Drosophila melanogaster: one gene and its partners. The protein of the gene in region 4 interacts with the protein of the main gene of each other region in a pairwise test. Each region holds a gene or a part of one and is shown on either strand. Other genes may lie near its edges. The genes, in order: ebo, CG2258, CG10274 and CG43691.

Region 1 (8,739 bases), on a different chromosome or scaffold from region 4:
AAAAGTATGCAAAAGGAAATATCGAGTGAGTAAACAAGAGAGTATGTAAGCCACAGACAAAGAAAAGGAAGCTGTCTCTTTTGTGGACCTCGTCCGCAACATCCTCCAGCTCCTCCATCGTTATCCGATTGTTTTTATAAGTGATTCTTATTACCATTTATTTTTATGGCATTTTGATTATTTGAGCGCGTGCGCAAGGCATAGTAATTAAACATATAACATTTAACGTTATACTCATAGGTCTATGTTTATAGGAAATCCTATTAGTAATAGTTTGCAATGATTAAGGTTATGGATGTTGAAATGATAAGCAATTTATTGAAAATAAGTTGCCTATAGCTTACCTGAGATTCTAATTTATTTATAAATTGCCTCTGTTGCTTGATTTAATACAATGAAATAACACGACCGCTATTTACATATGTACATATGTATGTACATCACATGTAAAAGTAACCGTAAGCTACACCGAACATTTGCGTCAGATATTTAACAGCATTTATTGAAACCACAGTTACAAAAACTGTAAGCGACACCGAAAACACACTACGAAAACCTCTAACAATGGTTTTTAACTAATTTCGCCGTTTTATCACTAATCGTAGTCCAACCGAATGTAGGCCTCCAATATCAAACTGCACTCACCAAATTGACCGGAATAACTGAAATCACAGAGTGTAGTCAAAATAAAGTTACATTTCAGGCAACTTTAGAACAAAGTAACGGGATTAAAAGCTCGAACAGTCGATAGTTGATGTAGTGGAAAAGGAAAGGGAACAAAAGAGAGATGAAAGATAACTGTTTCATAATTCGATCTCTTTTATATACATACATGTCTACCTATGTATGCATAGTATGAAAAGAGAGCAAAATTTGCATTTGCTCCTATAAAGCCACGTGCCACCCATCGTTTTATAACTGATTATACTAACTAGACTTTAATAAATGTCATGCTAATCAAATACATATCTAATTGCGAACAACTGGCGAATAAAATGGTAAAAATAGTTTTATTGGACTTTTGATTGCAGGACTTAAGCAATTATACATACATACATACATTCATACATAGTTCAAATCATTACAACGGACTTTAAACGCCTTGAATTTACTTTTGGTTGGTGGTGGTGTTAGGTTTTCCCGAAATAAATTACATACATAATTTCGTACCTGGGTTTTTCGGCCCTTCCAGCTATTTTCTTACTTGATACTTTATACTTGCTTACAACGTAACTGATTTACATGTTGAGATATGCTAATTAATTTATGGATATAAATGTATATGCTACTAAGATATATGTAGGTATGTATATGTAGTATGACTTTTATCGAGTTGCGGTGACAGCACAGAAAGCAGAGTAATCGTATATTCGTTACGTGGTAGACATAAAACTAAAGATAATAATGCACTTAAATCTATGTACGAAGCTTGTTTTAAGTTAACATTTAATGTCTTTTTCAATCGGGACGAATGCTGAGCTTTCTAAACAGAAATACAACATCGCACAAGGAAGAACCAAACGCAATCTGGTGGGATGGTGTTAGAACATAGGGCTTTGGGGACACGGCCCACAAGACAAAGGACCTGAAGTAGATGACAGACAGTATCGGGAAATATGGCATGCAAAATGCGACAGCATATTACATTTAAAAGTTACAAAAATAAAACAATATAGTACTTTATATACATGCAAGAACCTAATCGTATGCGGCCGTGGTTTACGGAACAAGGATGGGGAGCTGTTAAAGTCCCGCGCTTGAGGGAAGGAAGGCCTACGCCGTCTCATTGAGGTGCACGCAGTGGGCGTCCTGCATGAGCTGCGTGAGTTTCTGCGTAAACGTTGGAATGTCCTGAACAATAAAAGGTAGTACCTATTAAACGCAAAGTCAGTCATGGAAGAGTCACCACCACTTGCAATTTTGTGTTTATATTGATTGAAACAATTGAAACAAGTCGACATGGACAGTAAGATTGTAACAGAATGCTTAAATCATAAATGGAAGACAGTTTCTTTTTTTGCCTTGCAAGTGGTGTCGATCCCTTTATATTCAGTATTTGACTCACATTTGTCTGGCAGATCTCCTCCAGCGACGTCTGAGCCACTGGCAAAGAGGCGTGAACGAAGCTCTCGAGCAACTGGCGTCGGTCCACCTGGCCCATAGCATACAACGCCTGGGCAATCATGTCGAAGTGGAGGGAGCCCTCTCCACTCAACAGCAGATTGAGCAAGGCCCGCTGAAATGAAGCCAGCAGTTGCTCCTTGAACAAGGCGCGTTGGTACAACCGACTCCTCTCATTCACATTTTGCATTGAGAAGAGAACGCTGCGCACATTGCTCGGATCAGTCCCACTGACCAGCATCTGGCCATACGCATTCAGGATGGCCATGAAGTGTGCTGGATGCAGGTTGTCGCTGCAGTTGAAGTTGCCGGAGCCACCACCGCTGTGACCATTGGAGAGCTGATTTTTGTAGAAGAACTGCCACTTGCAGGTGAGGACACTAAAATGGAGAAAGGGCGTTAATTCATGACGACACAAGACACAAGTACAATTTATTTTAATTTATGCAGCATCACGCACCTATCAAACAAAGCGTACAACAGGCTAGTGATCTCGCTGTTATCGGTTGCCGCATTTTGCTGCTGCAACAAGGGCAGAATCTGCTGAGTGCTAAAATCTAAAATGGAGGGAAGCAGCCCCAAGGAGGCGCTCCCTGGCTGCTCCACGATCAACTTGAACATCTGCAGTATTTTTTCCATCACAGCCAGTCGGCTCAGAGTCAGTTGCTCCCTGGAGACAGAAAGAGATGGCATCATTAGTAAGCACTCACACTGTAAAGAAAGAGATGGGAGACCCACCTACTGCTGACACTTATGAACAAGGTGATCATTTCCTTAATGAACTGGGCCCCCAAATGGGTGGGCAATGTTCGGAGCATGCTCAGGCTAAACTCGGCCACCGTGATGGCCATGGCGATGCTGCTTTGCCCAAAGTTGTTAAAAATCATTAGGGCCTTTGTTAAAATAGGCTGGAAAACAAAAAACGTTAATAGATTAGGATAGGATGTTTAAATTTACTTAAAAAAATAAGGCACCTTGAAAGTGCTTGCCAGCATATCCTTGGCATTGCCTCCAGTAGCTTTAAAATACTCAATGAGAGCAGTGAAAGTACCCAGCAAACTGAGCGTGGTGGCCGCCACCTTGCTCTCGTTGGCCTGGCCTAAGTCCAGATCCAGAAAGTTCTGTGCCAGCCCCTGGACATATTCACGCAGCATCCAGAGACGCCTCGGATACTCCTGCTGCTGCTCCGGAACGCTTTTCCACGGCAGCACCATGTAGCTGACCAGACTGATGTGTACATTGATGCACACCTGACGCGGCAATTGGGCGCCCAAGCGAGAGCCTGCCTGCAGCAGGCTTTGGATTTGTGGTATATCCAGCAGGCACTTGGGCCGTATCACAGTCGATATGAAAAGCAGCAGCTCGCTTGCCGCCTGCTGCACAATGGGGGAGGCAGCCGTTAAGGATCCATTGCATGCGAAAATGCTGCCCAGGATAGCAAACAGGCGGTGCAGCAGTTCCTCGCCGCTCATGGCTTTCGTTAGCGGAAAGATGCTCCTCATGGCCAGTAGAACTTGAGCGTATCTGAAGGATCAAGAAAGCATAGTATCACATACATCATGCAAAGGGATGCCCCACTTACAGGTTGTCCAAATCAGTCTGGAAAGTAGCTTTGTCCATTTCGCTGCCGCCGCTATACAAACGATTGCTTGCGAGGAGCTGTAGAGTCTGCAGCAAACTGTCGGACAGCATCTGCAGCTGGCACTCCATCTCATCAGCAACCCCGGGTGCTGCTGTTGATGAGTCCATCAATGGGGCCAAACGCACGACCGCCTGGCAGACGGTGGCAAAGTCGCGCAAAATCTCGCCCACATTGGCGCCCTTCAGTTTACGTGCCGCTTCGTAGCTTCGAGCGCTTCCGTGGTCCAATGCGTGCTCCAAGGACAGTAAATACATCTGTGGCCGTGACCAGTGGTTATAGACCTGTGCGAAAACGATGTGTGCACCTCTGGTGTTGGCCAGTAGGGCCAGGGACTCGAAGCATTGGTCTAGAAACTGCTGCCACTCAGTGGCGGAGGTCTGAAATTGGATGAATGTCTAGATAAAATGAAGATCGTTCTAATGCAAGGTCTATTTCTTGGTTTTTGAAATTTGTCACCTAAAAACACTTTAAATCAGAGCTACTTACATCGTCCTCCATGAGCTCGTTGTCCAGCACTTCTAGCTCGGGTTTGTTGGCCTCAAACTGAGTGCGCCTCATAATCTCATCTACTAGCTGGGTAAGCACATTGTTATAACGCGTGATTTTGGCGGGGTGCTGGGCAATGCCTTTGATGATGGGTGTCCAGATCTCAAGCTTTTCGGTGAAGTCCAAGGCGCCGTGTACTGTTTGGGGAATACAAAATTAATAACTTTTGTTATATATCTTTGTCAACGACATTTCGAAATCTCGATCACGAGATGCACATAACCCATTTAATATTGCGAGTGTTTTATGACTACACAGCAAAAAGATCATCTCAAAATAAAAAATAAGTTAGCATCTCAAAAGGCAATATTTTTATCACGCGACTCACATTCAGTGGTGCAGCTGTATAGCAGATTGAGAAAGGTCTCCAGCAGGTCTGGCTCCTGCATCAGCTTGGCGGCATACTTGGTGGTGTAGAGGCGCAGCAGCTCCCGAAACTTGTCGCTGTACATCTCGCTCTGCCGCCGATTGTTATTGTGCTGCTCCAGGAGGCTGGTAACGCCGCCCATCAAGGGTCCTGGGAAGGGCAGTGGCTTCTGGAGGTAGAGGAGCTCATTCAACACAGAGAGAGCCGCCAAGGAGATGGGCTCATGGGCTGGTCGCCACTGGGAAAGGTCAAGTATGCTCATAAGGAAGTACTCCGAGATCAGTTCAGTGCGTATCCAGGAGACCAAGTGCTGCACACATCCTAGCAGGTCCAAAATTGAGGAACTGCGGAGTATATAGAGAGATGTTATAACAAAATGTTGTAATGAACATATGCTCTTTTGAATGTTATGATGACCCACCTTAATTGATTGTCATTTGGCAGCGCTGAGGTTAGACTAAAGTCCATGAGGGTGTTTGGTATGGTTGTTTGGATGTCTTTGCCATTGATGTGGCATACAGCGATTAGCAGATACTTGGTTACCAGGTCCAGAACATCGGGTACACACATGGAGATGCTACAGAAACACACGGCAAAAGGGAGCACAAAATGGGTTAGGAACAGTGCTGTGGCAACTGACCAGTAATTATAGTGCTTTCTCTCAACAAAGCAATATAATATGATAACTGGGTTAACGGTTCAATTAGTTGAGTTTTAAGAGGTCAGCTGACTTTAGTTGTTATGCCATATACATACTCAATCTCAATATAACACTTATTAATAAACCAAAAACAAGAACGGACTGACAAGGTCTGGGATTGTGTTATTCTATGTTGTGCGACGCAATCGTGTATTTAAACAAATAACACCAAAGTTAATAATAAAAATACGCTATGCTCGAAAACATCGACCATCTGATACGCCGTACTCAGTTAAAAATCCAAGTAGTCTTAAACAGACATTAAAAGTATGGGACTACAAAACCTTTTTTAAAAAACATACGATTTTAGCCTCTTCGCTCTATTTACCCACCAGGAGTAGAAGTACTGCTTCCATTCGGTGGTCAGGTCGCCCCTGTTGCTTACCACCTCCTCGGAGGTGATCTTAAGCAGGTTGATGCCAAGTTGAAACCGTGTTTTTGTCAGTTCCATGCAGTGTTGCATGTAATTGGGGTCCTGTTCAGGGAACTCCCTCTTTCCGAGTAGGGCTATCAACTGGGCCAGTGTGTCCCTGTGCCGTTTGGCCACATTTGGAGTGGCTACCAGTTGGGCATACGAGTTCCAAAGGGTCTCCCGCAGCAAAGTCTTGTCCGTGGACGTCAACTGTGTCCATCTCCGCGTGATTGTGTGCTCCAAGGTTGAGGTGCTGAAGAACCAGAGGAACTGATTCTCCGTGGTGTCGGAAGAGGTGGCCACACGGAGGCAAAGTTGCCACGCCTCTGGCTGGGACTTGAAGGCCAAGAGGTTTGTCTCGATCTCTCGTTTCCGGGCATTGGAGGTGCTGGGCTGATAAAACTCCTGCAGCAGTCCCTCCACCGTCGTCAAAGATGCGGCGTGCTGCACAGACAGTGGGTGGGTGGAAACCAATTCCCGGTTAGGTGGAATCACTCTGAATCACTGGCAAAATAGTGCGTTTGGCCCGGAGCCCCCCGCCTCACCATTTTCCGTGTCCTTTACGATCCTTCCGAGTATCTGTGATCTGGATGTTACGGTCACTGTGAGCTCCGCTTGCTCGCGGTTCTAATTCCGATCGCATCAGCAGTCGGCGTCCATTAATTGCATGGTTTTCTTTGTGTCTTTACACAAAAGGTGGCCAAAATCTACTCCGGGAAAGTGAACAAATTCCGCACGGCTGGCAACCCTGGCCGATAGTCAATAAATATCGATAGTTGTTGGTTATGGGTATTTTGAAATAAAAAAATTCTACCTTTCTTATTTTAATTACCTAAAACAAAATTTTTTTTAAATAAAATTGGCTATATAAATGTTTCAGCTAAAACTACGAGCGAGCAGACAAGCATCCAATTCAAATCCATAGTTATACAAATATATATATATATATATATATATATATATTATACAAATGTAATAAATTTTATATTTTCAGTCATTTTAATCTGATAAATTAAAAATGCTGGACTATTCCAAACAGCTCATAACCAGAAACATTTTGAATTTTCCGCCTAACCGCAAATTCGATCGATAGACGATAAAAAAATTGATCGCAGTCGGCGCTTTTGTATGTATTTTTTAATATGGTAGCACTATTCTAATAAGGCAATATTGTTAGCAAAACGGGACACTGATTAACTGTTAGCCTGCAAGTTAGGAAACCTGAAAGTAAAGGATTTTCAATTGATATTTCAAGACGTTCCTATCCGATCTGCCCAACAATCTGCCAGTATCTCATCATGGAAAACCAGGTCCGTAAAAAGGCGGCAAAACGATCGCGATCAGCGGATGGCGACGCCAACAACAATCTCACGCAGCGGAAGGTATTTGTGAACCAGAAAATGTGCGACTCCCGTGATCCTCGGAAGATGAAGGAGGTCCATGGTATGTAAATTGCCTTATTCGCACCAACTTATCTTGTTTCGATCCTGTAATGGAGGGGTGGGAGATTGGAGAGATAGCGCCGCTCAGAGCGCAGTTATCCCGGACTTGTTGCTCACTTCAGTTTGAACAGTTAGACGCGAGAACAAAAAATTGAGCAAAGCAGCGACCTCTAATTTACGATGAATTTACGCATAAATTTTTTTTTTTAATTTTTTTCTTGCTGTTCTTTTGCACGTCCCATCGAAGCTGAGTGTCTAACCCTCCTTTAAGTGTCTAACTCAACTGGAACTCTCCGATTTTCTATTTCTTTCGCAGAGAAGACAATCAAAATGCTTTTCGATGGCGCAGCCGGCAATAGGCAGGGTCAGGGCCAGAATGCCCTGAAGCCATTGGTACAAGGCCAGGAGGAGCCCGCCCTATGCGAGCAGTACTATCTGCTTGGCGATGGTTCCATCGTTCTGCGCAACCTTCGCACCGACTTGTCCAATCCGCGCCTGGAGAGAGTGAAATCGCGCTGCTGCCAGCGCCAAACGCTCATCCACGACATATGCGTCAACTGCGTGATGGATCTCTGCGAGGAGTGTGGCTACTCCTGCGGCGAGTGCTCCAGGTTCATTTGCCGCAGCTGCGTGACTTTATTGTGAGTTAAGTCCTTAAAAGAAGCATCCCCCTTGGGAACACCTTTTATTTGAAAATCAATCGACCATCATCTTATTTCCAGTGGTAATCGAGTTGAAGAAGAGAAGGATCCCCTGTGCGAGCACTGCCAGATGTTCTTCAGCTAAGGCTTTACACAATCCAGCACTTATAAAGTCGCGGTGCTTGTTAAATTTTAAGTTCTGAAGCAGTACAAATTTGGGACGACACAATGTCAAATGTATTACCAACCAGCTCCGTTTCACTTATGTCCTGTAACTGCTTTCTTTCCGGCCGATAGCCTGGATGAGATCCTGGCACAGGAGACTGGGCTGGGCTGCTCGGTCTGACATCAGGTTACTGTGTTCTTTTAACAGCACAATCAGGTTGTCTGTGAGTGCATTATACAGATCCACAAATAGCTGCCAACTGCCGCCGTGGCTGATCAAGTACTTGATGTCTACATCCAACATGCTGCCAAGAAGGCAATCCAGGGACTCTCCTGTGAGAGGGACCGTACGATTCCCGGCCAGATTGCGCTGGGCCTCTAGGAGTCATAGGGCATGACCAGAATATGCCAAGTCTTTGGGTTCCGGTTGAAATGGTCATTAAGGATCTAAAGAGAACATTATTAACTAGGGAAGGAGAATAAGGTACTGGGGAAGACTCACCGCTCCCTTCACGCTGCTCAACGAGCATTTGGCAAAGAGCCAAAAGAGTTAGCACATTCTGGAGCGCCGTGTGCTGCGTTTGCGACGCAGGGCGTGCCATTTGCTCCTCTTGTGAGGAAAGACGGCGCAGGAGCAGTAGGAAATCCTCGTTAGTCTTAAAGACAATGATCAGATATGTCGGAAGCATTCATCTATCCCTAG
Region 2 (8,964 bases), on a different chromosome or scaffold from region 4:
CAATATTATTTTTAATAGCATAATTTCAAACGGATTAACAATTAGCGTGCACCAAGATCCTAATTGTGGACAAATGTTTTGCGGCCGTGCGTGACCTTTTGGAAATGAAAGTCAAGCAGACCAGGAAGGAGGAGGCGACGGAGAAGGAGAGGATGGATTAAGGAATGGTTATGGGGCACATGAGGATCCACGTGCCGTAGGATCCTCCGCCAGCCACGATATCCTCCAGGAAGTCACCATGCTCTCGTCATCGTTTCGATGGAACTTCGAGTTCCTCGAACCGTCGATCGCAGCCGATTTGCCATAGTTATATAGAGAGCTAAATGCTAAACCAACTATATACCAGCGTCAAGAACTACAACGGCAACATAAATCTCAACTAAGTGCCGTTCCACGAGACCTACAAAAATATGAATACATATAGTTCAAAACGAGGCAAGGTTAAAAGTGTATTTCTGTTTGTTTTCGTTTATATCATATATATTTATTATACTATTCCTATTCTTATAAATGCAAGTACAATGAAAAGTTGTTTATTTTTTTTAATAGATATATTTACACACACACACACACATACACACGCAAATACACATTTGTTTAAAAGTGGCCTGCTGTTATTAAACTAGATATGATAAGTACACATATAACGAAAAAAACAACACTGTGCTATTATAATTTATTGTGTATGTGATTGTTTCCCCATTATGATACGATTATGATTTATTGTGACCACAAGCAAGCAAATAAACGGAAAATATTGTTGAATCTTTAAACTTAATCGAATTGGGTCGTCCAGGACTTAGGAACTTTTTATATGATGCCTTCTGAATCAAACAAAAACTGTACTTATAAACTATTTACGCCTAGTGAACGTTATTACAAAGGGGTTTCCCCTGTGAATTGTAGTCTAAAATAGCAAATTGCGGTTATAACTAATCAAAATGAAAAAATAAAAACAATATATATACTACATATGTGTGCCACAGGCAAAACGTTTAACCAGAAAAAAAAACTTGCTAGCATTTAAATAAACATTTTTATAACGCATCCCAAGAATTAGCTTGCCCTTAAAATCAGTATTTTTATATAAATCACTACACGTACTGTCCCCCACAAACGAGTTAAATATTATATGCAAATAAAGAAACGTTTTCCTGAAAACCGAAAGAGATCGAGCTTTTTTTCAACATTTAAATTCTAGCGCCAAGTTGGCAGCCCACATATATCTGATATCGATAACGATAACAGGCCGGCATGCCCCACCTCTACATTAAAAGGAGAAGAGCAAATAGGAAATAAAAACAAGTGATTGGATAATTTTTGTTTGTTGATCCCGCTGTCTTTGTTTGGTAAAATGGTGAAAACTTAGTTAACGCCACTTGGATGTGCTCAAATTTTGGTTAGTGTTATTCGTGGCTTGTTTAAAACAATATATAAACAAACTCTAAACGCCGTTAACCCTTGTGCGCGTGTGTGTTAGCTTGCGGCTTTTTTTTGGGTGTGGAATAGTTTGTTATTGTTGTTGTTGTAAACACATATGTATATCTGTGCAACAACAATTTGTCGCTCATACTTTTTAGATACAGTGCTCTCTCTTTAAAGCGCATAACAAGTATTTATTTAAATAAATTTTGAAAACTAAACAATTGCCAAAGAGTGAGTGCGGTTTTTAAACTGTTAACATTCAAGAAAATGTTAATACAATTGCAACACTTCTTGTTGCTAAAGTTTCGCCTTATCGAGTGATCACCGCCCCCCACAAGAATTCCCTTTCCGACCATCGCCCCTCCCCGGCGACAGACAAATAGACAGGAGAGCAAAAGAGACATAAAACAAGTGCATCGCATTTTGCCAGGAGAGGAGCAGCATCACCCTTCTCGCATCGCCCATTGCATTTCGCATCTCGCATCATTGGAATTAATCAAGTGAGCTTCTCATTCGCGTGCTGCGGCCAAAGGGAACAACAACAAGTGATGGAGCAGCGGAACTAGCTGTGTCGCCTTCAAAAGGACATCGAAAGCACAAAAGAGAGGAGCAGCAAACACGCCCATCGTCGGAAGGCAACATAAAGCACACACATCCACACACACACACACACATATGCAAACGTCCTTGGCTCCTGGACGCCAACAGCGGATGTGCGGGAGGGCGCAGGACGAAGGATAGCTGACGTCTGAGACAGGAAACAACAGGAAGAAGACAACAGCAGCAATAGCGACTACAACAACAGCAACCGACAAACGCAATTACGGTAAAAGGTGCGCCCAACAACATGGGTAAGTGAGCGGGGCACATTCTCATTGCATCCTTTTTGTGTTGTGCCCATTGTCGCATTTCCATACATTACACCCATTCACCGCGTGTCCTTGTGTGCGTGAGTGAGTACAGCAGCCCTGCAGTTCCGAAAATCACTTTGCATTCGAGAGCATTCACCAGGTGAATCATCGGCGACAGAGGGGCCTTCGGTCCTATTGGATGTCCAATAAGATTTCTTTTGGGGCAGTCCTATAGGAAATACAAGGTTTTCTTTAGAACAGTCCTGTACATCTATTACTATCCTTTGTAATTTGTAACTACACAACACTTGTTTATAGTAAATTTTGAAAAGTAGTTGATTTTGAAGTACTTAAAGCAAATGATCTAGTTCATTTTAGGTTTTATTAACCGCAAAATATTTGAAAAAGTGCGAAAAGCCTAACTTTGAAAACGTCCATTAGTATTGTAGCTTTATTAAAAATTAATATACATAAAGATATTTGTGAAGATTTAATGCATGCATTATATTAAAACCACAAATGTGGGCCACAAATATTACTGTTATTTGTACCGCTATTCACTGGCTTATTTATGAACCGGTTCACTCTTGCACGGATATCCTGCGAGAAAAAAGTGTGAGAGAAAGATAGAGAGAGAGAGAGAGAGGGAAATGCGCGCGCGTGGAGAGAGAAAGCACGAGTGGGCGGGGCAGTGGAGGGGGCGCTGTGTTTTGAAACGGATTTGCTCGTGTTGAGATTTTCACACAAAGCAATAAAATAGGCACCCAAAGAAAATTTAAATTTAAAAAAAATCTAAATTTGTTTTTAAATATATGTAAAAGTTCTTAGGACAGAAGTTGGACTTGAACACGTACCTTTCTCTCTAAACTGTTCAAAATAGTGTATAAATTGAATGCACTTTGTGCTTTTTTCAGTGTAGCGTGGAGCGTAGAGAGCGCAGAAGCCACGTGGCTCTCTCTGGCGTGTTTGTGTTTGTGGGGAAAACAATGTAAGCTGAAAAGGATCAAAAGCGCAAGGCGTTGTTGCAGGACCTAAAAGCAGCGCACAAAGCAGAAACGGGAAAGGCAGGAAGAGCGAGCGAGTGAGCGAGCGCAAGTGAAATATGAAAATTGCATTTTCCTCTTCCTGTGTGGGGGTGCTCCATTAAAAATTCCACCAGCACGAGGAGTATCCTCTTTGACGGCTCCGTGCGAATCCTGCGGAACTCAGCAGTTCGCTGCAGTCCAGTTTAGTGGCACGAAAAAACATTTTGGAGCATCAATAAGAGTGTAGCCAGTGCCGTCAGTCCGCAGTTTGGCCCTCGGCAGTGAACTTAACTTTTTTTTTTAGCGCCTGCTGCAGTTTTTCCCCGTGTGCTTGTGTGAGTGTCGACGCCCTTAAAGTTTTTCAAATTTTCCAGCTTTGAAAATCACTTAAAATCAATCCGTTTCGATTTAATTCTTTTTATTTTAGCAGAGGCAGCGGCAGGAGGTGGCCCTGGTGGAGGAGCAAGTGTTCCCAGTGGAGGAGGTGGCAACGACATCGGTTTAGGCATCGGCATCGAGATGCTCAAGGCTCTGTACGACTTCCAGGCGGTCTATCCGAAGACCATCAGCTTCGATGAGGGCGAGTACTTCATCCTTTACCAGACGTCCGCCCGCCAGCGCAATTGGTGGCAGGTTGTCAGCATGAAAGGCAACATTGGCTTTGTGCCCTCCAATTACGTAATGAAGATTAAGGTGGAGTACATCGCTCACTAGTGGCTAAAAGGATTACTAAACATATGCAAATTTTGACAGGTGGAGCACGACTTTCTCATCAGCTTTCTGAACTCCTCGATAGAATCGCTGGAGAAGTGCACGGACCATGAGATCAATGGCATCATGTCCAAGGACGAACTGCTGGACAGGCTGCGCGAGAAGAAGCACACCATGGAGCGTCTGTATGCGGTGGGTAGATTCTAACTACTCGTATGGCCAAATGAATGTTATTGATGACCTATCTCCCCTCCTATCTTGCAGGAGAGTTCCGAGCGCGACGGTGACTCCTCGCTTTCCTATTCACACAGCTACAGTGACAAGGGTAGCCACCGGCACTCGCATCCCCATCCCACCCAATCCCAGACGCAGCTTCATTCCCAGCACAGGCAGCACAGTCCGCCGCCCAGCGGCGGCAGCGTTGGCTCCCAGCGTTTGGACATGAGCAAGAAGAGCATGTCAAGTCCAGCGGTGGGCTCATCGTGCGGCCTGCCCCAGAATCAGGGCATGATCGAATCGCCCAGCATGGGCAGCATGCAGTTCCAGGGCAGCAGCTGCACCATCCAGACGCCGCAGCAGCAACAGCCGCTCCCAGCACCGCCAGCACCAGCTCCCTCGCCATCGGCAGCATCGGCCACACCCACTGCGGCATCAACGAGCAAAGCGGCCACCGGCGGTGATGTCGCGCAGGACAATAGCATTACGTCGGAGCCCTCGGAGACGACAACGACCACTACGACGACCAGCGAAGATGTGGTCACCACATACAAGGAGACCAGCCAAATGAGCACCAGCCAGCAGCATAAGCCGCAAAATGGGAGCACTGCCTCGGCGTCCATTTCCGCATCTGCCTCGGCCTCAGCTTTGCGCAGCAACGGCGGCAACGGCAAGGCCAACGGTAGTGCCACAGCCCTGCATCAGGAGCTGCAGCAGGAGGAAGCGGACAGTGCGCCGGACAAGTCGGATGATGCCAGCGCCGTGCAAAGTGACGACGGTTGCCCGGCCAACGGAGATAGTGCGGATAATAGCCAGGCGCTGGACAGCATCGACAGTCCGTCGCATCGACAGCGCGGCCTGAGCCTGGGCAGAATCGAGGAGGGTGCCACAGGAGGAGGCCAGTTGAAGGTTGAGTCATCGGATGTATATCAGATTGTGGACGCCCTGCGGCGGAACACCAACCTCAGCTTCGATCTCTCCTGTGAAGCATTGCGCGTGGTGCTGACCAGCCTGGAGCAGCTGTACAACGGTGCCATCAATCCGTACCTGGAGGCGGTGGCCGTTCATGTCACTGGCAAAGTGGCCACGCCCAAGGAGCTGCTGGGCATTACGCACGACGCCAAGCGCTTGCAGTATCTCTTTGCCCAGCTGGCGGACTGCAAGAACGATACGGAGCAACGCACTTGGATGCTCTACGAGGATGAGGAGGACATCATTCAGTTCCTTGAGGAGCTTGTTGAGATTTTGGTAGGAACTAGTTTTTTTTTTGTAACTTTAAATCTTAAACTTATATCACTCCTTACAGATCAATGCTGATGAGAGCATCAGTTGCTACGAGATGTCCTGCGATCAGTACCAGATGTTTATCAATCTGGTGCAGTACTATCAGATGGAGACGCGCTGGTCCATCAAGCGACTGCTGCTTAAGACCTTTACGGCCGCTTGCCATCTGGACTATATCATTGTGGACATATTGCTGACCTCGGTGCTGCCATTGGAGATTGTAAGCAGGAGCTCAGATTGTGCCACCTAATGGTTTTCTAAGTTTAGAACTTAACATACTTAACTTTCAGGTCGAGGACATGAAGACGCACTTCTCCAATCTGGATCGCTTCAAGCAGCTGGTCAAGATGCTCACTATTATCTTCTCACTTGGACAGCCCATGCCGGTTAATCATCAGGGTAAAAGCTATCTTAACTTATTAACCAATAGTTGCATGCTTATACTTTGATGTCTATTATAGATTATTTGGGCGTACATTTTGCCAGCTTCCTACTGGAAATCGTCGAGGGCAATAATCCGGAGGTCTTGGTGGACATGGTCATTGCCTTGATCTTGGCCTTCAATCAGCAATTTAGCGAACATACCTATAATGTCATCATCGAAGGTATGCAGAATCTGCCATCCGCCAAAGTGTTTACGGAGAAGTTGCTACTTTTGCTCAATCGAGAGGGTAAGTTTTCAATTTTAAGCATACTTTTTAATTAACTACAAAACATAAGCATGTAAATTGGATCGATTTCTTCTTGAATTCTAACCAGATGATCCCACACGCTTGCTCAAGCATCCCAACGAGCATATGAACACGGTGCTGCGAATGTTTATCGACATATTCAGCCATCCGGATACGGCGGGCATGTTCTACACGAATGACATCAAGGTGCTTATCGATATAGTGGTTCGCCAGCTATCCGATTTGGATGCCGGCAGTACGGTGAGTCCGCCAAAAGTCAATGCAACTATAGTGCTCCCTACTAAGTACACTTTAATTTGGTTTCAGACGCGACCATGCTACTTGGAGCTTTGCCGACGCATCCTGCGCAATACGAACTATCAGGAGCACCAGCATCGCAAGCATGATCTCATGAAGATCTTCACGCGCATCTTCTGCGAGGAGACCGAGTGCAGTGCCTCCGATCAGCAGCTGGTGCGGGAAATAGCGAACGAATTTCCGCAGCTGTTCAAGGCCTAAGGATTATTGGATACGTATACCAAAACAACAACAAAAGCCCAAACCAAAAAAAAAAAGAACAAAAAACACGGAGGGAAACCAAAATTGTAAAGCGTTGCTAGTGAGGCGAGCCGTTGAAAGCGAGCCAAACCTTAAAATCTCAAATAATTTCAAGTTTGATCAGTGCATTTGTTATGCGTTTGTTTTAGCGTTTCGGTCTAGGATAGCCCTCGTCAAAAAAAAAAGTCAAATATTGAAAAGAATGCATTTCGATCCATGCCGGATCGAAAGGGAGCACACACGCGACTCTACATATATCTTATGAACATAGTCTGTAAGCAGGACAAATGTACTAGTTGCATGTGGAGTAGATGCAACCTCATAGAGATGATAACCCAATCTAGCGATCTAGGCGAAAGAAATGAAGCTATAGCCTATAGCCCATATAGTCTAACACTAAATTATCCCCTGTTTAGGATGATTTCACTAATTTAGAATTTAGCCAGGGACAATTTTAGCCAGAAGCAGAGTCAGAGATTAGCCTCACTTTTAAATTTTTATAGTTCCAATTGCCCATTTGTTTGGAATTCAAAATTTTGACAAAACAAAAGAAGATGGAAGCATAAGAAAGAATGAAATCTTTCGAGGAATATAATATTTATAGCCTAATTATACACCTATAATGAAAATATACATTCATGGCGAATGCGAATGAAACGTTAATTGCAATCTACAAGTAAACAATTGATATATTAACGATGTATGATCGCAGTATTTGCAGCTAGCAAAATCCAAATCGATTCGAATGTAACGAGCATATAATGTTAAATTTGTTTATATAATCTATGAGATGGAGAACTAAGCCGAACAGGAAATCATTGACAATTGTTAAAGCTCAAATACTTATTAATTGGAGGCTAAGGAGGCTGGAAATTGAAAATAATTAACTATGCAAGAGCATTGAAAGTTAGGACAACCATTTGCATTTCTCACTCACTAAAAGACACGAACACACTGTGGCACTTGCATTTTGAAGGTATACAGAATTCCGAATTATATTAAAACAAATTATTGCAGTACCAGTTTTATTTTTTTTTGTAATACTTGTTAATACCTTTTCTTTCTGAACTATAGGGTTTTAACCTCCAGCAAACCAGCCACATTTTCTCTATATATCTCTCACTATTTATCAAGAAAAAATAACAACACAAAATTCCCAGCGGATCCAACGAAAAGATCCATAATTTTAAATTTTAATTTTAAGGCAACTCTATTGTATTTGTTATGTTATTTAGTAGTTAGATTCGAAGAGGCCTAGGACCTCTCAATCTAGTTTCAAAGCAGGAATATTGTATTTATTTCTGATAGCACGATCCGCTGGGATAAGTTATATCTATCTCTATATAAACACATACAGCCAACAAGATAACAACATAAAGAGTTTTGGACAGATTTCAATGGCCTATCTTTGTTATTGTTACGTCACAGTTATAAATCTTAAAAGTTAAAACAACGAAGCTCAAATGAAAATTAACATTTTAGACCAGATTAGTAATGAAACAAAATTAGAGGGCGGAAACCACATATGATATATATTCTTCATTGGATTTGGTTACCTTAAACGTAGTATAGAAATCTTGATATCATTCCACTTTAAAAAAGCAATACCCTTTTAAGTTTTCACCCCCTTCAGTTAACGAAAAGTGGTTTAGAAAACACTGCCTATAGCTTAGGAAAAAATTGAAAATTCGCCTCAGCCTGAATTGAAGTAAAAGTTAACGTAATTATAAAATTCAACATTTTGCCATAAATTTCTATTGTGGTTTCCCCCCTTAAAACCATTGCGATCCAATTTGATTTAAGTTTTAGAGATTCCCATTGTTATATTGTTTAAGAAACCAATTTTAATCAAAACGCATGAGCATAATATTAAAAGATCTATTTAAAAACCCCTGTATGGATCTAATTTTTAAATTAATATTAAAATTGAGACAAGCTGCGCTGATTCATGAACGAATTTAATTTGCCAAGTTTCATAACGAATAGGAGTATTTACAAACAGTTAAAAACTAAACTAAATCAGAAACTAAAACCAATATTAGCCACGAATTGTACCTTTCGATTTTGAATTTAAATAACACTCTCGGTATTTGCAAGAAAAATAAAAGAAATAAATAAAAACAATAAGGCAAAGAGTAAACGAAGCTGCAATAAAAACAATTGATGTTTAAAAGTACTACGTTAACAAAAACAAACACGTTTTACGTCAAGCAAATAGAGCTA
Region 3 (6,746 bases), on a different chromosome or scaffold from region 4:
TTTCTACGCTCGGGACTTATTGTTTTCGTTTTAGTATGTGATGATGGTATGTGGGCATTTTGTGTGCCAGCACTGCCTGGATAGCATGAGGAGGAAGAACGGCCGAGCCGGCGTCACAAAGTGTCCACTTTGTCGGCAAGATTCGCCACAGTAAGCTTTTGTCATTAACCCTCACAGACTACGCTTGTAACCATGTATTTCTTATAGGTTGTATTACTCGGTACGCCCAGGTGCCCACAAGTCAATTATTGGTGACTTTTCTACAAAAATTTCAAGTGTTGTGGAATTAGTGCTGAAAATTAAGGGTGAAAATGAACAGGAAAAGATTATTGTATTCTCTCAATGGCAGGCGATTCTCATTGAAATTGCCAGAGCGCTCAGTCTCAACGGCATTCAATTCCGCAATAAGTGCACAAATAAGGACTTTGATGATTTCAAGGTTTTTATCTTGCTGTTAAATTTAATTTATCACTGCTAAACATTTTTCCTCCTTTAGAATCCGTTGAGCAATGTTACCTGTCTACTAATGCCACTGTCCAAAGGCTCAAAGGGTTTGAACCTGATCGAAGCCACACATGTTTTCCTCGTCGAACCCATTCTAAATCCGGGAGACGAGCGCCAGGCCATAGGTCGTATTCACCGATTTGGGCAAAAGAGGTGAGTGCGCGCTATTGAAGTGAAGTTGCTGTCAGTTTCAATACAATTGTTTTTAGACCCACGAAGGTGCATCGTTTCATTGTGAATGAAACGATTGAGGAGAATATTCTATCGCTAATTACTTCAGCCGATGACACGACTACGCTGTCGACCCACTGGGATCTGGAGAACATGACACTAGACAGCCTTAAGAAGCTATTCATACTCAAGGAGGAGTAAAACTTATGAATTTAAAACAAAAAATTCCGATTAGATTTAAGCTCTTAATAGGGCAAATTTATTTTTTAAGCTACTTATAAACAATCTTTATATATAAATATATAACTGCCACAATCAATTCATCTATTGAAAAGATGATATTTGACATGCAACCTCTCCATTCAGACCAGAATCATTAAACTTAAGTCGAATTCACATAGGTATTCTGTGTTCTCCTGAATAATGTACAGTATTATTTGTACTACAGTTAAGGACATTATATTAAATAGTATTAAAGAATATTTTCAGCTTAAAACTATATCATATCCATCTTACACACACTGTTCTCATAAGGATTATAAGGTATTGCTTTTCATAAAAAAAACCCAGGATTGATTTACCATCTGTGACAGCGTTAAACGCTGGCCAAATCTCAGACATGATCGATTTTTAAAGCATCCAAAGTGGTGCCATCGGCATGTGCTTTTTGAGCGTAGTAGCCATCGTAGGAGCTTTGCGCCTTGTCAACCTCCTGCTGATGCTGCAACAGTTGCAGTTGCTCGTAGGCAGCCTCCTGAACCTTGCGGCGCTCCTCCTCCGCCAGTCGCTTTACTTCGTTCTCTTCAAACTGCTGCGCCTGGAGTTCAGCGGATGCCGCTGCTCGCTCCGCCGCTGCCTCCTGGTACTCATCGTAGGAGTGCAGGCTGCGGTCACTACTTTCAAGCTTGTGCAGCGACGATAGCTGCTCCTTGGCCGCCTCCGCAATTTCGCGCCGCTTCGCATCCGCCTGGCGCTTCGCCTCTCGCTTGCTGCGTTCCTGCTCTTCCAGCTCCTCGCGAGCGGCATAAAACTTGGGCGAAATGACGGGTGGACGGTTCTCGTGGGTGCGCTGGTGGCGCTTCAGCGCCGTCTCCTGGCGGAAATGGGTGCCGCAGGTCTTGCACTCAAAGGGTTTCTCGCCCGTATGAATCCACTCGTGATGCCTCAACGTTTGAGCCTTTGCGAATCTTTTGGGGCAAAAGCGGCAGGCAAAATCTTTGACCTTTTCGTGGATGATCTTATAGTGCCGCTTCATGTTTCCGATATTGTTGAATCCCTGACCACAACCGGGGCAGATATGTTTGCCCTCCTTCTTGGTAAAGTTCACCTGCGGCGACCACGACGGCACTGAAACAGAGGGTATGGGGTTCACAGCAGTGCCAGCCAACTGCGCCAGATCCACTCGTTGTACACGGCGTGGATCTTTGGGAATGGTGGCCACGGATTCGGCGCACACCTTAAGCAATTCGTCGGCAGCGTTTCGGGACATGATCGGCTCAATGGATATGCCCTCAACTGGTGGCGCGGGTGGATTGTCGAACTGTTCACCAGGCGTCTCGCCCATTTCCACCTGCCGCTGGCGGTAGGTCTCAATAGCACGAAGCACACGCTTCTCATGAGTCTTCAAGTGCTTGGTCAGACTCTTAGGATAGAGAAACTTCTTTCCACAAACCTAAGAATATTAAAAACAAAACGTTGCAATGACGACGCTGGCTTAAAATATCTTTCTACCCTTACCTTGCACTCACAGCGCTTTTCCCCCGTGTGCGTCATCTCGTGGATCTTGCAGGCGTGTGACTTGCCAAAGGTCTTTCCACAGTATTGACACGCATAGTTTTTGATCTTCTCGTGCACGATCTTAATGTGGTTGGCCAGGCTCTGCTTATTGTGCGATGCGTGCTCGCATATGTGGCACTTGAACTTCTTCTCCTGGGTATGCGTCAGTATGTGTGTGTTCCATTCCTGCCTGGTGGTTTTTCCCACGCCACAGTACGGACACACGTAGTTCTTAATGCCCGCATGCCGCATCAGATGATCCTTTAGAGCACTATTGATTACGAACCTTTTGCCACAGATGTTACAGGGGAAAGGCAACTCCTTGCCGTCGTGCTTGTACATGTGCTTCTTGAGCGCCATGGGACAGCGGAATACCTTCTCGCACTCGGTGCAAGGGTAATCCCGTGGGGGCGCCGCTGCCTTGGTGATGCCGTGCATCTTCTTCATGTGAAAGGTGAGCAGGCGTATGCGCGGAAAGGTCTTGCCGCAGCCATCGACATTGCAGGAGTGCACCTCGGATAGCTCCGTGTGGGCGTGGTCGATGTGAAGTCGTAATCCTCCAGCGGTGGTGAAACCTGTAAATGCCAGTGATCAAAACGAGAATGCGATTTGGAGCCATCATTACACACCTTTCCTGCAGGTTTCCACTTTGCACTGGAAGGGCAGCAGGTCGTTGTGGTGCTTCATGTGCTCTTCGTAGCGGATGGCCTTCTTGAACTTTTGGTGACAAATGTGGCAGTCAATGATGCGGTGCAGGTGCCGTTCGCCAGGCGGAATCCTCTTGCGTCGACTCTTTGACTTTTCTCCGTCCTCGTCCTCCTCTTCGGAGCCTGTTGGGAACTCTTGGTCCTCTTCCTTAATTACGGCTGCCTTTGCTTTTGGTATCATCCGCGAATTATCCCGTAAGCGCTGGGCCAAAGGCACATCATCGTCACCATCGCTACTGTTGGGCTCAAAGTCCACATCTTGGTCAATATCTTCTTCGCTCTCCTCCGAGGATTCCGCGGCAAAGATGGTCATCAGATCGGCGGCGTCCAATTCATCTTGCTTCACTTCCTTCTCCACCTGCTCGGCCTCCTTGTCCACGTGCTCCAACATCTTGAACACATCCTCCTCGTTCTCGATCATCTCCATTTTGTGATCCAGTAGCGGATCGAAGTTGATACGATCCTCCTCGTCCTGCCCCACCAGCTCAGGCTCGTTCCCCGCCACGTTGAGCAAATCAAAGTTTTTCATCTGCGCACTCGCTGGCGGGCAAAAGACGTTCCTGGCCACCATGTCCTGGAACTTTTGCACCGAGTCCACGCACAGCTTTTGGAACTCGTGCATATCGTCCAGCCGGCTGAAGCATTGCGCGCACAGACACTTGGGGAAGCCATCCGACTGCTCCACGGCCAGCGAAGTGCAGACACACAGTTTCTTGGCCAATCCGGGTATCAGGAACAGGTCAAAGGATCCTGCGCCGCCGCCATTCTCCGGCAGGCGATTCAGGCAGATGCGGCACACCGCGTGCACCGAGTACTGGGCTGCCTCGGCCTCCTCCTGCATGATGCCTGTTCCAGGGGGAATCTGCTGGCCAAATCCGCGGAATATTAAGCCGAGAAAAACTTTACGCGTCAGACGAACCAAAACAAATACCAAAAAATACCCCACAGTGATGCCAAGTACAAACAGTTATTTAATAGCTAAATTATTAAACCGGCTAGAAATATGGATAGCATCAATAACAAATTTCAAATGTTTTAAAAAATATGTGCCATTTTAAGTGTGATTCTTAATAAATGTATGTATTAACCTAAATTAAATACGTAGTTTTATATGTGTCTCATATAAGTTGCATAGCTAGTGGAATGTAGCTAAAAAACAGACGAGTTGGCAGCATTACAGCTCACCTCTGTCTTGTTTACCAACAATACCCGCTTACCAGCACTGGGGCGAATTTAAAATTCAAATGTTCAATACTTATTACTGTTTATTATATTAAATCATTGTTAAATGAATACAATTAGTAAAGTACAAACTTAAGCAGTTTAAAGGGGGGATTTAAATACAAAAAAGATCAAATTGCAAAGTGACGAAAACTAGTTGGTAATCCTTAGAGAACTATAACTCATATGTCCTTCATAGAAACACATAATGAAATGATCGGAAACGGAGGCCGGGTTTGCTCGCAAGCATTTCCGTTTGATTCTGCCGCTCAAACATGATCCAACTTCAGTGCGTCCACTGAGGTGCCCTCCGCCTCCGCCTTCTGCGCGTAGAAGCCGTCGTAAGTGTTCGACTGCTTCTGCAGCTTGTTTAGCTGCTCGAAGGCAGCCTCCTGGATCTTCCGGAGCTCCGCCTCCGCCTTGCGCTTGGCCTCGTTCTCCTCGATCTGGTAGGCCAGCAGCTCGGCGGTGGCCGCTGCCCTTTCCGCCGCCGGATCCTGGTATTGCTCGAAATTCTTCGGCTGCTGGCGCTTCACCGCGGTGCTGGACTCCGCCTTGGGTCCAGCCGGCTCCTTGGGCTTGCCAGGCGGACGGGGCGGCTTGTCGTGCACCTTCATATGCGTCTTGAGCACCTGCTCCTGCCGGAAATGCTTGCCGCACACCTTGCACTCGTAAGGCTTTTCGCCAGTGTGTATGTACTCGTGGTGCCGCAGGTACTGCTTCTTGGCGAATCTCTTCGGGCAGAAGCGGCAGCAGAAGTCTTTGACCTTTTGATGCACCACCTTGTAGTGCAGCTTCATGTTGCTCACGTGATTGAAGCCCTTGCCGCAGTCCGGGCAGATATGCTGGCCCTCCTTCTTGGTGAAGTTCACTTGCGGCGACCACGAGGGCAGGTTGACCGATGGAATTGGATTGGCCACCGTTCCCGCCAACTGAGCAATGTCCACCCGCTCGACGCGACCACGCAGGTGCGGACTGGGCTTGGCTATTGTCGAGGATCCACTGGCCCCGTCGCCCATTAAGGCATTGGTCCCCTGCGTCTTGGGCAAATCACGCTTCTCGTGCGTCTTCAAATGCTTGGTTAGGCCCTTCTCGAAGAGGAACACCTTGCCGCAGATCTTGCACTCGCAGCACTTTTCGCCGGTATGACTTCTCTCGTGAATCTTGCAGGCGTGCGACTTGCCAAAGGTCTTTCCGCAGTACTGGCAGGCAAAGTCCTTGCGCTTCTCGTGCACCACCTTCACGTGGTTGGCCAGCGCCTGTTTGTTGTGGGAGGCGTGGTCGCACTGCCGGCACTCGTACTTCTTCTCCTTCGTGTGGGTAAGGATGTGCTTGTTCCACTCCTGGCGCGTCGTCTTGCCCACTCCGCAGTACGGGCACACATGGTTCTTGATGCCCGCATGGCGCAGCAGATGGTCGCGCAGCACACTATTGATGGGGAAGCGCTTGCCGCAAATTTCACATGCGAAGGGCAGCTCCTCGCCCGTGTGCTTGTACATGTGCTTCTTGAGGGCAGTGGGGCAGCGGAAGACCTTCTCGCACTCCGTGCAGGGGAAGTCCCTCTGCGGGGTGTCCACCTTGTGCACGCGTTTCATGTGGAAGCTGAGCAGCACGGGCCGGGCAAAGGACTTGTTGCAGCCCTCGTAGGTGCACGGATGCATAGCCGATGTCTCCGTGTGGGCGTGCTCCACATGGACGCGCAGTCCATTGGCGGTGGTAAAGCCTGAAATTGGAAAAATAATCACATAAATCTACTTCTCGAGGATCTGCGGGCGGAGTTTACCTTTTCGGCAACTCTCGACGGTGCACTGGAAGGGTAGCAAGTCGTTGTGATGCTTCATGTGCTCCTCGTAGCGAATCGCCTTCTTGAACTTCTGGTGGCAGATGTGGCAGTCAATCAGGCGGTGGCGATCCCGCTCCGTAGCAGGAATCCTCTTGCGTTTGGGCTTGTCCTTCGGATTGCCATCGGAGTCGTCTGATGAGCTGGTCTCCTCGGACTCCTCGGATTCCTCCTCCTGTCGCTTGGCAGCCGACTTCGGCTTGCCCTTCGCCTTGGAACCACGAGTGGCTCCACGCCGGCTGCGCTGGGCCAGTGGAATGTCGTCGTCACTACTGATTTGGAAGTCTGCGTCGAGGTCGTTGTCGTTGCCGCTCTCGAAGGAGTCATCCTGAGATACTCGGCCAAACGGCTGTTCCATCTCCATCTCCACCTCTTCGACCTCCTTTTCGACGGACTCGAGCATCTTGAAGACGTCCTCCTCGTTCTCAATGATCTCGATCTTGGAGTTGAGCAGCGGATCGAAGTGCACGTTGTCCTCTTCCTCGCCCGGCAGATCCGCCACAGCGGCACTGGTGTCCAGAACATCG
Region 4 (7,142 bases):
GCAGAAAAATGACAAAAGGATGTCGCAAATCACAAGTCCTGCAACGCAACGCGCGGCTGAAGGACACTTGAAAAAAGCGAGGCTAATCGAGAAGATATTAAATTATGAAATATGAAATATACCCTTTTTCTTGTTGATATTCAATTGCTTTAAAATAGTTTGCAGAACCTCGTGAACTTTTACCCACTCGAAAATAATTTCTGAGTCCCAACATAATAATTATTTGATTCCAAAAATATTTAAACATTTTTCTTTCGTGTGCCCAATGTCGACAATAGCGGGCAGCTAACGGCCGGAAACGATTCGACATGAAGGGACTTTCTGGGTCCGCGTCGCGTGTCATGAGCAAACAAGATAATGTTACAGCAGTCATCGCCAATCGGAGGTGGGATGGAGATGCTGGGCAGGACCACGGGCACTGTGCGGACACTCGAATGGAATTCGGTTTTGGCAGTTTGCTTTTGGGCCCCAACCCTCCCGGCGATTTGTACGAAAAATGCAAATGAAAACGTCTCAGCTTACGCCAACTTCCCCACGCCAGCAATCTGCTGAGTAGAATGGGAATGTGGATTTGGATGAGGATATGGACTGGAAGTCGAAACTGAGACGGAGAACTGAACTAGGACCAGCAGCAGGAGCAGAAAGTGGAGGAGGGTGCCAAGTGGCCGGTATCCTGTGCTGGTCTCCGTAGGCTGGGAAATGATTGATCGCCGGGCATCAATTTCGCAGAAATGTTATTGCCTTGCGTTCGACAGTCGGTCGATTGCCGGTCACCAAGTGCTTTAATTATGGCTTAAAGCGATGTCTCCACATGGGTTAAGTTACTCGAAGGAATTTATTCGGTCACAAGTTATATATAAAATGAAAAAAGAAAAATAAGCAGATTTGTAAGAGCAAGAACTAGATTAACAAATATTAGGATTTCCAAATGCAGTCTTACAAGCTTTATAAATCAGTAAGTAATATCCACTGATCTGGTATAAAAATACATAAAATGTCCTAAATTAAATGAGAATATCCTTACTGAAGAACCAATAACATTGTAAGCACAGTTCCATTTTAATTGCAACAATTTTGAAATATAGGATCTGTTACTCGGAAAATTCCTTGAGAGCCTGCCTGATCTTCGGCCAATCGGCGGCTGTGTAGTTAAGCGTTTTCATTTATGAAAATGTCTGAAACATGTTTCGCTTGCGCAAACAGAATGCGAGTGCGAGTATGCAATAAAATTCCATTACAGCAATGGCTCGACTTAAAAACTTGGCCGAAAAAAAAAGGAGGCAAGATGAAATTTCGTTGCATGAGCGAGAAGTCGTGGCAGGAGCATCGGGGGGAGCAGTGGGTGGAGCAGCAAGGGGATAAGGAACACGACCAGGAGAAGGAGCATCCTGCAAGTGTATTAAAAGCCCGCAGACATTTTCTCTCTACGTGAGTGCATCGCATGAGCTTGGCCCTGTTTGTTGGTGTGCAATGTGTGTGTGTGTGTGTGTGCAAAAGTCCTTGCATATTTTATGAAACTTGGCAAAGCATTTAACAACACAGGCACACCCACAGACAGAGGCAAACTCATTACTTGAATTTATTTAGCACTTAAACCAAATGTTTCATTCGCCTCAGCCGGCTGATTTGGTGGTGCTCATATCCGTGCATATCCGGAGTTTAGTTACCACTTTGGTGGCTTCAAAAGTACTCAGCACTCCTTGTCGCCCCTGCTAAGGATCAAAACTTCTGGTATTCTTAAGGATCCCGCGTGGGCAGCAAAATGCCGGGCACTCGGGAGCAGTAGGTACGGTGCCCTTAATCCGCTTTAGAAGCTTGGTCTTCCGCTCATTCATGGGTAACTGTGAGCAAAGATGCCCCTTTTTATGGACATAGCCACAGCGTGTGCAAAGGTCCTCGAGCGTGTTGATTAGCAGCTTGTTCTTGGCACAGGCTTCTATGGATCCGCTGGACAAGATCTCGCAGCTGGACGAGGACGACATGGAGAACGGGGTAGTGGGCGCGGGCACAGGCACCTTTACTCCACACCGAGGACACTTGTCCAGGATCATCGAATCACCAATTTTCTCAACTTGGCCTTCGCATGCCAAACACTCTGCGGAACAGGAGATCTTCTGCAGGCGACAAGTTTTTCGGGGTGAGTAGTAAAGTTCCTCGATGGGCCTAAGATCTTTGCTCCTCTTCCTTGCCGTAAAAGTGGTGGAACGGAATTTAGGACGCCTAAATTGTGCAGAGGTATACAATTCTTCGACTTTTCCCTTCATCTTCTTGTGGACCAACTGCTCCACTCGCGATTTGCGATCCAAAGCCTGAAAGAAAGAATAAAAATGTATTTCGAAGATGTTATTTTATAACTTTTTGGCGGTTGAGTATAGTTAACCCACCTGAAACATCAGCTGGTGCTGGTTCATCATGCTCCTAATGTTGTGTAGCGAGTAGCGCCACTCGATGTCCCGCACATCCTGCTCCTCGTTGGCCGCCAGATCCAAGCTGTTGTTGAAGCTTATAGTTGATCCAAAGGTGCTGCTAAAGCGTCTTCTCTTACGCTCCTCGCGCTCCAATCGTTCTGCATTGAGCTCCTGCTCGAGGAGTTTATTGTACATTCCGCCGTTCATCTTGATTTCCTGCGACTGGCGTGAGCTGTGAGATGGGTCAATTTTGCTCGTCCTTATTCCCCGCATGCCGAAGGGAATGAGCCGTGTGCTGACCCGCTTCCTAGACCACCAGTTTCGCTCCATAAACTTTTCCACCTCTTTCTTCTGTTTGGCTTTCATAGATTCGGTTTCCAAAACGTTAAGCATATTGTCCCGCGGCGGTTCCATTCGTGCATAGTTCTTCTCGGTCACTATTTCGTTAAGATACTCCAAGTACTTTTTGGCCAGACTTTCCTTAATTTGCGTTAACGTAACTCCTGCATCTGTGAGTTCGTTGTAGAGACTCTGAAGATGGGACCACATTTCATGGTTAGCTACTTCCTGCATAAGTCCATTAACATCGGCAATATACTCGATAACTTCGTTTCTTTGTATGACGTCCTTAAGGAGGAACTGCAAGTGTTTGAATTTGGCATCTGAGCGTAGATCTTTCAAATGAAACCGTTCGAATTCGAACTCTTTGACGTAGGGCTTTGGGGCATTTTCTGTTTTGTCGTGGCGATCTCGCACCGGTGCAAGGAGTTTTTCAAGATCATCTGGCAGCGCATCATATTTAAATTTATTTTTGGATGTCGATTTCGAAGATAGATGACCAAAAACTTGGCTTTGGGATTTAGTCGGATAAATACCAACTTGGGTATCGGAAGCCCTTCGTGGAAGATGCCTGTTCGATTGGTTCCCTCTGTGCAGAGCTGATTCGCTGGCTGTAATCCTAGATACACCCATATGCTCGCTGTTTGTAGGAAGGTACATGATATCCTTCTTCAAAGACTGATAGTGACTTTCCTCTTGACCTCTTGGAGGAGCAACGCGGATCTTCTTGGGTATGATGGGTGGCATGCGAATAGATTTACGGGTAAATTTTCGGTTTCGATTGCCCATAACTAATTTATTCAGTGATTCAGTGAGGGACGCAACGCTATCCCTTTTGAATAACACATGAGAACCACTCCTCTCGGCAGATAATTCGGGTCGGTCTTTGATTACGTAAACGCTGCTCGTACTGGAAAGCTTTTTGTGCTTATCCGACTTAGTGGCCACTTTTTCGGATCCGATGAAAACCTCTTTGGACGCAATCGAACTACTCGAACTAGAAGCTTGAAGTTTGTCACGTAGTTTTTTCCTATTTCTTCTCTCAATATCACGCCTCATATATAGGGGTATATCATTATATAATCTTTCGAGTACATTTTCTTGCTTTTCCAAGTCTCTTTTTTCCTTTTCCTGTTGAAAAGTTTCAGCTTCTTTAGTTTTTCCATGACGATTGCCCCTTTTCTTTGCCTTTGTCTCTAAAAGTGCATTTAATTCGTCTTTAATTACCCTATCCACATAGTGCATTTTACGCTTTCGAAGTTTAGGTCTTGTTACCTTGAATTTAATGATTTTCGGATCTGGAACATTTCTGGGAGCTCGTCCGCTTTTCACAATTCTTTTTATTCGTACTTTTGGGTTTAAAGTTGTAATATCGGAGATTTTGTCAAAATCAAATTTGGGGTTTCTTATGGCTTTTCTGTTAATTTTCGGGTTTTTAATAACTATCTTTTTCCAGTTGAAGCTGATTAGTTCCCTTATCAACATTTTCAGTTCCTCTAAAGATGGTTTTAATGGATCATGTTTCTTTGGCTTTCGAATGTCCTTCCGAATTCTTTTCAATTTTTTCCGAATAACAAGTTCATCTAAGCTGATATATAATTTTTTTCTTTTCCACAATTTCTTCTTTGATTTCCTAGTTTTATCATGTGCTGTATCTACTGGCACGTTTCTTCCTCTCATGGCCCTTTGTTTATTGATCATAGCGTTTGTTTGCAACACTTCAGTTTTCCAAAATTTAGCAAAGTCCTCGATTTCGAAATCCTTTTTAACCCTGCCACGGCTTAGCTTTCGTGGTCGCCTTCCCCGAACCTCCGATAAATAGTTTCGAACCTCCAGTGCCTCTGCCTCCCAGATCTTGTCCTGATCCTTGACGTGTTCGTAGTAATCCGGTTTCTTTTGCCACTTCCTAACTGCCTTGAACAGTCGATGGAAGCACTTGTCGACCAAGTTCTTTGGATTGCGGACTTTCTTCAACTGCCTCCTCAAGTGTCGAAGTTTGCGACGCATTCCCACTTTTACATGCTCCTGGTGCCGAATTAGCTGACTTTGTAACCTTAAAGCTTTTGACCAGCTGCGCAGCCAATGCTTGTACATGGAAAGCATACCGCCCACCGCCCTCCGTGTCTGCTCCCTCTTCTTCTGCTCCGCATCCCGCTGCCGGTGATCTATGGAGTTCCTCATCCTGTCGAGCAGATGGTCACGGATCCTTCTCATCACCTGAAGGCGGCGGTGGGCGTGACGCTTTCGCAGACGCAACTCCTTCGCCTTCCGCCGGATCTGCTTCTTCAGCAGCACCATCTGGGTGCTCCGGTGGAGCAGGGGCACTTGCATCGCGTACTAATCGAATTTGATCCCTTATCCTCTGAATTGTGTATACAAAGAATACCAATTAACTAGATTTTTAAACAGTCTTAAATGTCATGAAATGTCATAAAAAATTTAAAAGCTAACTCTATTAAAATTTGAACTTACTCATTGGCAAATATGTTATTATAAATTGAATTCAAATTGATTTTATTTTAAAATTCTTGTTTTATTATATATAAATTCATAAATATATTTAATTAAAATTGTCTTCAAAATAAACCCTTAAAGAGTTTGCAAATCACCGGCAAGTAGTTTCAAGGGGATGCACAATCTCTTATCAGACGGTGTGAACCACCTGGTCATTCGGGGATCCCAGTGCGAAACATTGCTCAGCTTACAGATAAGGCATCACAAATCTTCCATCTATAAATTGGTATTCATTGTCGGTTTCGATGGGAAGCCCCACTCAGAGATAGATTGCTATATAATTCACGGTGACCAGATCCCAGCATCGTCAGTCAACAGTCAGCCGCTTAGTCAAGTAGATCGAAAATCAAGAGATTAATACAGCAAGATGAGCAAAATTGTTCTCCTAATTGTGGTCATCGTTGGCGTACTTGGCTCCCTTGCGGTGGCCTTGCCCCAACGTCCGTATACCCAGCCACTGATCTCCACCACCGACGCCACCCAGAATCTACAGGGCACGTCGCCAGGTGTTGGGTGGATCACTCACATCCAATCCGAGTGGCGGTGCCGATGCCCGATTGGACCTAAGCAAGGCCGTTGGAACTCCCGATCACCATGTTATTGGACAAGTGTTCGCAGCGGGCAACACGCAGACCAAACCGGTATCCACTCCCGTAACCAGCGGCGCCACCCTGGGCTACAACAAGTGAGTCTCTTAAAGGATTACGATCTGAGCAATAGCGAAACTAATCTTATTTTTCATGAGCAGTCATGGACACGGCCTGGAACTGACCAAAACCCATACGCCCGGTGTGCGGGATAGCTTCCAGCAAACGGCCACCGCCAATTTGTTCAACAACGGTGTTCACAATCTGGATGCCAAGGCATTTGCCTCGCAGAATCAGCTTGCCAATGGCTTCAAGTTCGATAGAAATGAAGCTGCACTGGACTACTCCCACATCAAAGGTCATGGAGCTACCCTGACGCACGCCAATATTCCCGGATTGGGTAAGCAATTGGAGCTGGGTGGGCGTGCCAATCTTTGGCAGTCGCAGGATCGCAACACAAGGCTAGATCTGGGCAGCACGGCATCCAAGTGGACAAGTGGACCCTTCAAGGGCCAGACCGATCTGGGTGCCAATCTGGGACTCTCGCACTACTTTGGATAAAACTATATTCTTAAAAATATTTTACAATAACTAAGTGTTATTCAAAATATTTATTGACATAAATTCAAACGAATTTTGTTGCTTATTTCAAATGTGTTAAAAATATATGACTTAACTCAAACAAAGGGAATTTTTAATTGAAAAAAACAACTAATGAATTGAAACAAAAATCTAAAACGTTGATTAAAGCGGTCTAAAGACCCACAAATGCCTTGGCCTGCTGCTCGCCCGCCTCCTTATAAAGCTCCGCCGTCTTTAGCAGTTTTATAAAACGCGGTGAGTACTCGGTGGTTAGACTCTTTTCCAGGACCTCGTCCAGGCTGGTCTGTTTGAGCACCTCCTGCAAACGGGCGTTACGTTGATTGCGCTCTGCGGATTCGGCCATCTTCTGGAGATAAACCAGATCCAGGAGCAATTCATCACGCACTCCAACCGCCGCCTGTTGATCCTCCATCGGTAGATCCTCGTACTGTCGCAGTAACTTCTTGACAATTCTCGACTTTTGGCTGATCTTACTCGGATCGAGCAATCGCACATCCTGACTGAAATCCTCGGCAAGGATTTGAAGTGTGCTCTGTCGCTTCTCACGACACTTTTGTTGCTCGTTGGATGTCTTGAGAATTAGGTCATAGAAGTCCTGGAGATCCGGACGCAAAGGAATGCATGCTCTTCGTCGCACCTGCTCATCAATTATGCTGCTAATCGCCTCCATTGTGTCCCGCAACATGGTCTC

Evidence for each region.
Region 1: the proteins of CG43691 (region 4) and ebo interact in a two-hybrid assay, tested with the Drosophila melanogaster proteins (one large-scale study listed by BioGRID).
Region 2: the proteins of CG43691 (region 4) and CG2258 interact in a two-hybrid assay, tested with the Drosophila melanogaster proteins (one large-scale study listed by BioGRID).
Region 3: the proteins of CG43691 (region 4) and CG10274 interact in a two-hybrid assay, tested with the Drosophila melanogaster proteins (one large-scale study listed by BioGRID).

What each region holds. Positions count from the first base shown.
Region 1 is NC_004354.4:470,061-478,799, forward strand, and holds ebo (ellipsoid body open), read right to left. Parts: upstream 6,520-8,739; 5' UTR 6,337-6,519; coding exon 6,334-6,336; intron 6,233-6,333; coding exon 5,709-6,232; intron 5,254-5,708; coding exon 5,098-5,253; intron 5,021-5,097; coding exon 4,638-5,020; intron 4,447-4,637; coding exon 4,250-4,446; intron 4,159-4,249; coding exon of another isoform or gene 4,141-4,158; coding exon 3,704-4,140; intron 3,646-3,703; coding exon 3,096-3,645; intron 3,030-3,095; coding exon 2,860-3,029; intron 2,792-2,859; coding exon 2,582-2,791; intron 2,502-2,581; coding exon 2,066-2,501; intron 1,873-2,065; coding exon 1,774-1,872; 3' UTR 959-1,773; downstream 1-958. Other genes in the region: CG13373 (uncharacterized protein), read left to right, coding at 7,087-7,231, 7,547-7,871, 7,953-8,016.
Region 2 is NC_004354.4:8,094,381-8,103,344, reverse strand, and holds the start of CG2258 (uncharacterized protein), read left to right. Parts: upstream 1-1,890; 5' UTR 1,891-2,276; intron 2,277-3,273; exon of another isoform or gene 3,274-3,636; intron 3,637-3,728; 5' UTR 3,729-3,820; coding exon 3,821-3,994; intron 3,995-4,054; coding exon 4,055-4,204; intron 4,205-4,276; coding exon 4,277-5,476; intron 5,477-5,534; coding exon 5,535-5,732; intron 5,733-5,802; coding exon 5,803-5,911; intron 5,912-5,973; coding exon 5,974-6,183; intron 6,184-6,271; coding exon 6,272-6,444; intron 6,445-6,510; coding exon 6,511-6,702; 3' UTR 6,703-8,964.
Region 3 is NT_037436.4:6,177,769-6,184,514, forward strand, and holds CG10274 (uncharacterized protein), read right to left. Parts: upstream 4,062-6,746; 5' UTR 4,000-4,061; coding exon 3,081-3,999; intron 3,027-3,080; coding exon 2,413-3,026; intron 2,348-2,412; coding exon 1,289-2,347; 3' UTR 909-1,288; downstream 1-908. Other genes in the region: CG7376 (uncharacterized protein), read left to right, coding at 35-150, 208-439, 497-657, 714-876; D19B, read right to left, coding at 4,649-6,102, 6,163-6,746.
Region 4 is NT_033778.4:13,388,141-13,395,282, forward strand, and holds CG43691 (uncharacterized protein), read right to left. Parts: upstream 5,222-7,142; 5' UTR 5,079-5,221; coding exon 2,385-5,078; intron 2,310-2,384; coding exon 1,713-2,309; 3' UTR 1,355-1,712; downstream 1-1,354. Other genes in the region: CG4744 (uncharacterized protein), read right to left, coding at 6,603-7,142.